Linked DNA regions of Arabidopsis thaliana. The protein of the gene in region 1 interacts with the protein of each later gene in a pairwise test. Each region holds a gene or a part of one and is shown on either strand. Other genes may lie near its edges.

Region 1 (3,758 bases):
TGGGGTGTTATTGTCTGATGAAGTAATCACAAGTCTTGATTGAGTGGAGATGAGTGACTGCAAAAATACGTTTCAAGTCAAAAAAAAGGGAGGAAAAAGCCTACAAGTTAATCTTGGGAGGAGAATCAAGAAATGTCTAACATACCAATAGTTCATTCATATCGGTAGATGCTTGAAGCTTTGCTCTTTCTTCCAAAGAACGACCAAGGAGCACAAAGCCAAGCAGCATGACCTGCATACTAAATGACAAGAGCTATCAATCAGAAATTTACTATTGAAACTGTATTTTGCATGTAGTGGAAGTAATAATAAAAAGCTTTCATCCTCTTGTGGATCTGCTAGAGAAACTCACCGGTTCATCGAAGAAGGAAGCATCCCACTCCAGTTCTGGATTAACTAGTGAGATCTGCAAAATTCAGAATGCAGAAACTGCAGGTTTTCAGAATAGGATACTCACCAGTCAAATATAAATTACAGGGTACAAAAACTCACCAAACTGATGGAAAATGCAGCCATGGATCCCAATCCAACTAACGAGTTCATATTAGGTGATCTTTTCCCGAAAGCTTTTATGCCATCAAACAGCAATTCTACAATATACATCTATCTGTTTCAGTCATTTGTGTTTCCGAACAGCCTCAAATATCACTACCACCACTTTGTTATGAAAGTCGCAAAGAATAGTAGGAACCATCACTATCACTTAAGAAGTTTGAAAATTCAGAGTTTCTCTCTTATGACAACGACGACTCAATTAAGCTAACCATTATCCATAAGAAGAACTGATTCAACAAAGCTCACCTATATAATCAGAGTAGAACACTAGCACTTATCTAAGTCTAAACAATAGCCTAAGAACGACTACTTTGTCATCTCTCTCTTATGATACTAATTACTAAACTTATTATGCATTAGCTGGTAAGAATCATAGATTCGAACTAAAAGTTTAAACAAAAGCAAACCTCTTCCTGGTCCCAACAAAGCTCCAACGGCCAAACCACCTTTCACGTAAGAGTTGTGTAGCAAATCCCAAATCCCTCCTAGTAACATCAGGTGCAAGAGAAAGTCATAAACTACATCTCTTATCCAACAAATGACATCTAGCATCACAATTTTTTTTGCATTATAATCAATGTACCATGAGCAATGTGAATTCCCAAGGAATGAAGAATATGCGAAGTGTGAGACCCGCAACACAGAGCCACCAATGTCCACGCAAACGCCACACGGTTCCTGCTCTTAACAAGCAAGTCCTCTTTCTTACTTACCATCTCCTTCCACTTCTTCACATTCTCCGCCACTCCCATACCCGAGACTCTCCTCTTAGCCTCAAAACCACTCTCTGTCAATCTCTTAGCTAAACTCTCTGCCGTATCCGCCGTCACCTCAACCTCCGGTTTAAACTTCACAGCCGCGGTTTCAGTCAGCATGTTAACCACAGCAGACGCGACTCGATCATCAGACATCAAAACCGATTTAACTCGGGCGACGCAGCCACCACACATCATCCCACTCACATCGAGGAGAATAGGCGTGTCGCTCGTAATGGATTTCACAGATTCGATTGAAGATTCAGTAGATTCAAATGATTGAGTACTTATCTCGACCGAGTTTGATACTAAAAAAAAAGGTCGCGAACAGTGCCGCCGGATACGAGAACGGCGCAGTCTTGGAAAGCATCGGTTCACGAGGAACTTACTTGGACGAATATGAAGACTCGATGGCGGAGGAAGAGGAAATCGGAGAAGATTGCTCGCCATTTTCTCCGGCGAGACAGACGACGATAGTCACGCGATGTATACAAGTAAGAAACTAGTGGTGGACTGGTGTATGGTTCGTTAAAAAGAGTATCGCTAAACGTTGACACGTCGGATTTGGAATATATCCGAACATTAGCCATTTTTGTGGAATTTTTAAAAAGCCAGGCTGTCACCAGAAAAATCAGAGAGAGACATAAAACGCAAAGTTTTAATAGGTAAGACCTTCTAACTCAGCTAGAGGATTACAGCCCCCGGGACACAGCGATGCCACGTGTCATCTTCCTGAAATATTGTTTTTTGTTTGGAGGTAACTTTATCTTCTCAAGCTTTCTTCTTCTACAACACATCTAGAGCTTTGCAACAATGGAGGCGAGTGCGAATGAACCAGCTATGAAAAGCTTGAAATCCAATCCTTCAGGACCGATACCGAACTTTTTCGTATCGCTCTCTTCGGCATTTACGCAAACACCTCTTGTGCGTTCGAACAAACCCAATTTGCTTCTTCTACCACCAGTTGCAGACTCCGTCAAATTGATTCAAGACTTTCATCAGTCTCTGATTTCTGCTACTGAGAAATTTAAAGGATTCCTCCATTCGCTCGCCTCTAAGAACCCTCTCTTTCAGGAAGCGGTTCGCCTATCTTCCGAATTTCACATTTTGTGCGACGAGGTAACTTCTCTTAGCCTGCTTATGCTAAAGAATGTTATGGATTAAGTTAAGAAGATGATTGTGTGTTTCTCATGAACTTGCCTTGGCTCTGATTGTTACTGTAATGGGTGAATCTTTGTGGTTTCTATTTATACAAAATGGGTCATTCTTTAACAGCCAGTAGATTGTTGTCTAGATCATTTAGCATTTATTGGAAAACCTTCTCACATTGATAACCCTGAGTTATATATGTCCTCAAGTTGGGATCTTTTTTGGTTCTTTTCTTGTAAAGATGAAACTTGGCTTCTGGATAAGTCCGGTTATGATTTTGTGTGCCTTTGCTTCTGGTTTTGGGTTCTTTATGTCTTAAAGATGAAGATCATTTTGTTGCATTGCAGATTCGTTTGAGAAACACTACAAGGGTGAGGTTTGCGATGTCTAATCACGGATTTGCAGCGGTTCTGCCTGGAGATTCAGTTGCAGGATTGGTGGTTGCTAATGGTTTGATCAATTTCCTCAACATATATAACACCATCCTTGTCGTCCGTCTAGTACTCACCTGGTTCCCGAGTGCTCCTCCTGCCATTGTTAACCCCCTCAGGTAAAACGTTGCCTTCAAATGCCACAATGATTTTATATCTTATCCAGGTTTAAAAGTTTTCGATCAATCCATGAAAACAAAATCTAGATCATAGAAGTCCTATTCGTGATTGTTGAAGGTAGTCTTTTTACTTGATTTAGAGGAAATTTATTTTGGATAAACTCTGTCTACTACTTTTTTGTCCAACTCTTAAATGGATTAAAGATTGGTTAAACCCTGATTGATCTGCCCAGGAACCCTAGTTGATTCCTATTTATGTGTATATGCGTTACCATTGTTTCAGCACTTTATGTGATCCATACTTGAACATTTTCCGGGGATTCATACCGCCTCTTGGAGGATTAGATTTGTCTCCCATTTTGGCGTTCCTTGTTCTCAACGCCTTCACCAGCTCGGCTATGGCACTTCCTTGCGAACTCCCGTCAGCTGATGGAGCCGTTTCTCCAGCTTCTAGTGAGACAAAGTGGGTGAGAAGGAGAAGGTTGAGCAGCCACAAAGACCACAGACCGAGCTCAGCTTCTATGACCTGAACCTGTCTAAAATATCTACTCTTTTCTGCGCTTCAAATGTAAAATCTACCTTTCGAGTAATTTTATTACTCTGTATCTTTGGATTTCTGAGTTTTGTATAAATTTTCTTTAGAAAATGAATAAAAGAGTTGTGTTCCTGACATACAGAAATATTGTAAAAATTTTGCAAGAGATGAGCTTTTCTTCTTCATTTGTGGCATCAAAACAACTTTCGCTCAG
Region 2 (3,758 bases), 1.8 Mb from region 1:
ATGAATGAATGGAAAATGATCTACTTTTTTTTTTATATACAAACTTCAGTAGAATTAGGGTACAAAAGGATAAAGTAGAATTTATGACCTGAATGATGGCTACGCGGAGGACATCACCGTGGAGGCCAAGGACAATAGAGCCGATGGCCATGGCCGCCGGTCCGGCAATAAACTTCAATACCATTCCCATCACAGTCAAGCTTGTTCCACATACTATCAACTTTTCTTGAAGTGCCATGAATATTCCTGCGTATATATGCATGTATTCACTGTTATCTCAATACTGATACGTAATCTTTACGTATAGAAAGATACTTGCATGGACATAAATAAACGTACCCATATTGAACATGGCCGTTCCTGTTCCTGCTTTTGACATTATAAGAATCGAACCCTCTAATATGCCCGGCAGCTCCAGATGCCATCTATATTTCCAATTAATTTCCATCAATTATTAGACTTAAGTCTTTATTTGTTAGCCAAGAGTATACAAAACACTAATCAAAACCCTAAACCCAAAATTCACACTAAAACAAATAAAATAGAAATTTGGTCAAAGACTCTAATATTCAGATTAAAATCATGATTAGTTTATTTGCATGTACATGTCACGTTTGCAAATTATGTTACCATGTTAAAAATGTCCTAGTCATTTGTCACATGGAAATATAAACGCAAATGCAAAGAAACAATCGTGACCTATATTTCTGTCAAAATTTTAACTATAGATCATCAGGCGCTACACAGAAAAGTAATAATTTAGATGGTTTAAACGTCAAACTATAGATATTTTTAGGCAATTTTAACGGTTGCCTCGGAGTAAGGGGTGGAATTAATGTAGTCTCCTGAGTCCCTGATCACACATACTAATTAACACTTTGTTAAACATCTTATAGGTACCAATATAAAGTTTAATTAAAGATTCATTTTTACCTGTTAGAAATAAAAGCCCATGCGATCCCAAGGATGCAAGAATAGCAATTTGGATTCGTTGCAAGCTTCAACCAAACGAGGGACATGACCTCAAGGAACGACTTCTCTCCCACAACCACAGTTTCTCTTTTTCCACTTTCGATATTGATGTTGTCTACTTGTACGTCGCTGATATTATTACTACTAAATCCGGCTTTTCTAAACTCTAAGACAAACAACAAGAGTGTGAGCCACACGATGGCTTGAAATACCGAGGATTGAACCACCAGATCAACAGCCTGTTGTCCGTACATTGCCTTAGCCAATGGCACACCAACGACAAGAGAGTTAGTAAGAGTGCATAGAGAGAAACTAGTAATGGACCAACAATAGCTTCCTTTGTTGCTATATTTGGCCCACAACGCTAAGACCGTGACTATGATGACCTTAGAGAGGACATCGGCCGCGATGAACCGGTAATTCATGTTGAACGGGTCGACATGGGCCGTGAACTCAATGGTGAAGAGCGGCAGGGTGAAATAGCAAACGAGACGGTTTATAGCATCACATTGATCACGCGTGAAGATGTGCCACCATTTCACAGAGCCATAGCCTAAGATTAAGGCTACATAGAGTGGAACCATTGCTTCGATTACCTTGTAAACATCTCCACAATTTATCATGGTTTTATCAGAAAAATAGAAATGTTGCAGTAGTAGCAAACGAAAGGAAAGAAAACAAAGCTTCTAAATTCGTTCGTAGATAGTAAATGTGTTACGATAGAGAAACCAACATGTTCATATTTATAGATAAATTTTTAATTGTTTTATTTGTTGTAGAAAAAAGATAGGTAATGAGATATCCATGAGTAATATTCAAACAAAAGTAAAGTTTAGATATAAATTAAACAATAATATTTTTTTCTTCGGAATATGATTACGAATATTTATAAATAATTTGGCTAAATTCCTATAGAATAGATACAATTGAAATTTGAGTCTAAATATTTAGATAAAAAAATTAAAATCAACCTCATATTTTTAGCCATTAGTTTAATTGAGAAACAAGAGAGTTATCGTTATCAATATAATTGACCAGACCGTGCCGTGGCATATGATTCTATTCCAATTGTTTCCTGTAAATAGTGAGTGTAGTGTTTGTGTATGACGTAAACATTTCTTTCAATATTTGACTATATTAATTAATGGTAATGTCGCAGAATAAAGAATGAGGTTGCAGCTTTAGCACCATAACTAGAAGATCGTCTCGACCAATATATGTTTTTGGCTGTCGTAACTCGTCGCCACAACACATGAGACTAACCAAATAATATATTTTCAATAATTTATTCGAAATATTTGCTTAATCGTTTTTTTCTTAATCTTAATATTTATATTTATTAACCACTTTCATAAAATGGGAGCAGAACTATGCTAGTGCATGTAATATAAGTAAAGTGCATGGAATAGTTTGTATATATGCCGAAATGGGTATTTGTGCCCTACGACCTGGCGATAGCAACCAATTTCATAACCGACAAAGAGAGATTTCTTATAAGAAAATGAATTTCACTTACTTATACCTAGTGATGATTTGAATGTTTCAATATATTCATGGTTTAAGAAATAACATGTCATGGGTTTTAGAATATGTTAATATATAGATAGATAGAGAAGTCTACAAATAACTTACTTACTTTTATCTTAAACCATGTTTTACGTTGTTTTTTATGTTTCGTTCGATAAAAAATCATATGGCCATGTCTTTCTTCTTTGTTAAAATATCAAAGAACCATATTATACTACGAGCTAGCGAAAAATCTATCATCGTGAGGATTGAGGAAGCCATTCAAGAACTACAAAAGTTTACAGAAAAATTTGTACCTCGTGCTCTTGTCCTTTCTTGCTAGACAACAAATTTATTATTTGCCTTCTGGACTCTAATATAATCACAACAACACATATTGCTAGGTGCAATATCATCATATTAGCACTTTTTAATTCTATGGTATATTTTTGTTTTGTAACCATATATATTGTCCATTCACAAAGTCTTTTCTATTACACATATTCATGATGAGAAAATTGATTTGATCTAATTACTAGAGAATCATGCAGAGGCATAAAATGATCTGGAAAGCATTTATTTATCATTTGATTTGATAATAACATTTTATGGAAACACCTATCTTTACCAAAGATTTGGAACAAATAGAAAAACATAAGCAAACAAATATATATAGTCGGACTAAAACAAAAACAAAAAGGGGGATTTGACTGATGGAACAAAAGTTAAAATCGGTGGATTAGAAATCTGTGAAAACGTGGAGGATGCTTATTCACTGGTGAAATTGAGGGATCATATATAAATATGAATAATAATGCTAGTAGAATAAGTTCTATTTATCACTTGATGATTACAAATCTATAATATGCTTTCAAATTTCTCTCCTGATGTGTTGATATATATTACAGTCTTTTTAATATCAAAAAGGTTTTTGTCTTCTCTCATTCATTCATTCATCGTTAATACTTTTGTTTTTGTGTGACATATTTTCATTATTCTTCTTGAATTATGTCAGAAATAGCTAGCTAGCACGATTGGAAAGTTTATTCAAAATCCATCTTATTTGTTTTGTACTTTTGACGTCATGAATATTATGTTGATGTTTTTTCCCAAACCACAAAAACAAAACAATCAAAGTTTTTCAGACCAGAAAACACTATATGTTGGGGTTTATACTGTTCTTCCTAAATTAGAGTTCGAATTCAAGAGTAGTGATCATATAACTTTCGTTTTCCTTTCAATCTTTCATAAACGAATCCAAGTACCAAGTTAAATGCATG

The links.
Region 2: the proteins of YLMG2 (region 1) and PIN5 interact in a protein complementation assay, tested with the Arabidopsis thaliana proteins (one large-scale study listed by BioGRID).

What each region holds. Positions count from the first base shown.
Region 1 is NC_003076.8:7,241,131-7,244,888, reverse strand, and holds YLMG2 (YGGT family protein), read left to right. Parts: upstream 1-2,008; 5' UTR 2,009-2,123; coding exon 2,124-2,429; intron 2,430-2,806; coding exon 2,807-3,009; coding exon of another isoform or gene 3,010-3,013; intron 3,014-3,048; exon of another isoform or gene 3,049-3,292; coding exon 3,293-3,539; 3' UTR 3,540-3,688; downstream 3,689-3,758. Other genes in the region: PAA2 (uncharacterized protein), read right to left, coding at 1-57, 146-232, 353-406, 493-590, 963-1,040, 1,139-1,760. UniProt on the Arabidopsis thaliana protein: Not required for the biogenesis and accumulation of native cytochrome b6 in the thylakoid membrane. Not functionally involved in the pathway for covalent binding of the c-type heme to cytochrome b6.
Region 2 is NC_003076.8:5,398,572-5,402,329, reverse strand, and holds the start of PIN5 (Auxin efflux carrier family protein), read right to left. Parts: upstream 1,691-3,758; 5' UTR 1,596-1,690; coding exon 934-1,595; intron 426-933; coding exon 340-425; intron 247-339; coding exon 89-246; intron 1-88. UniProt on the Arabidopsis thaliana protein: Auxin transporter regulating intracellular auxin homeostasis and metabolism. Mediates the auxin transport from the cytosol into the lumen of the endoplasmic reticulum. May also act as an auxin efflux carrier when located to the cell membrane.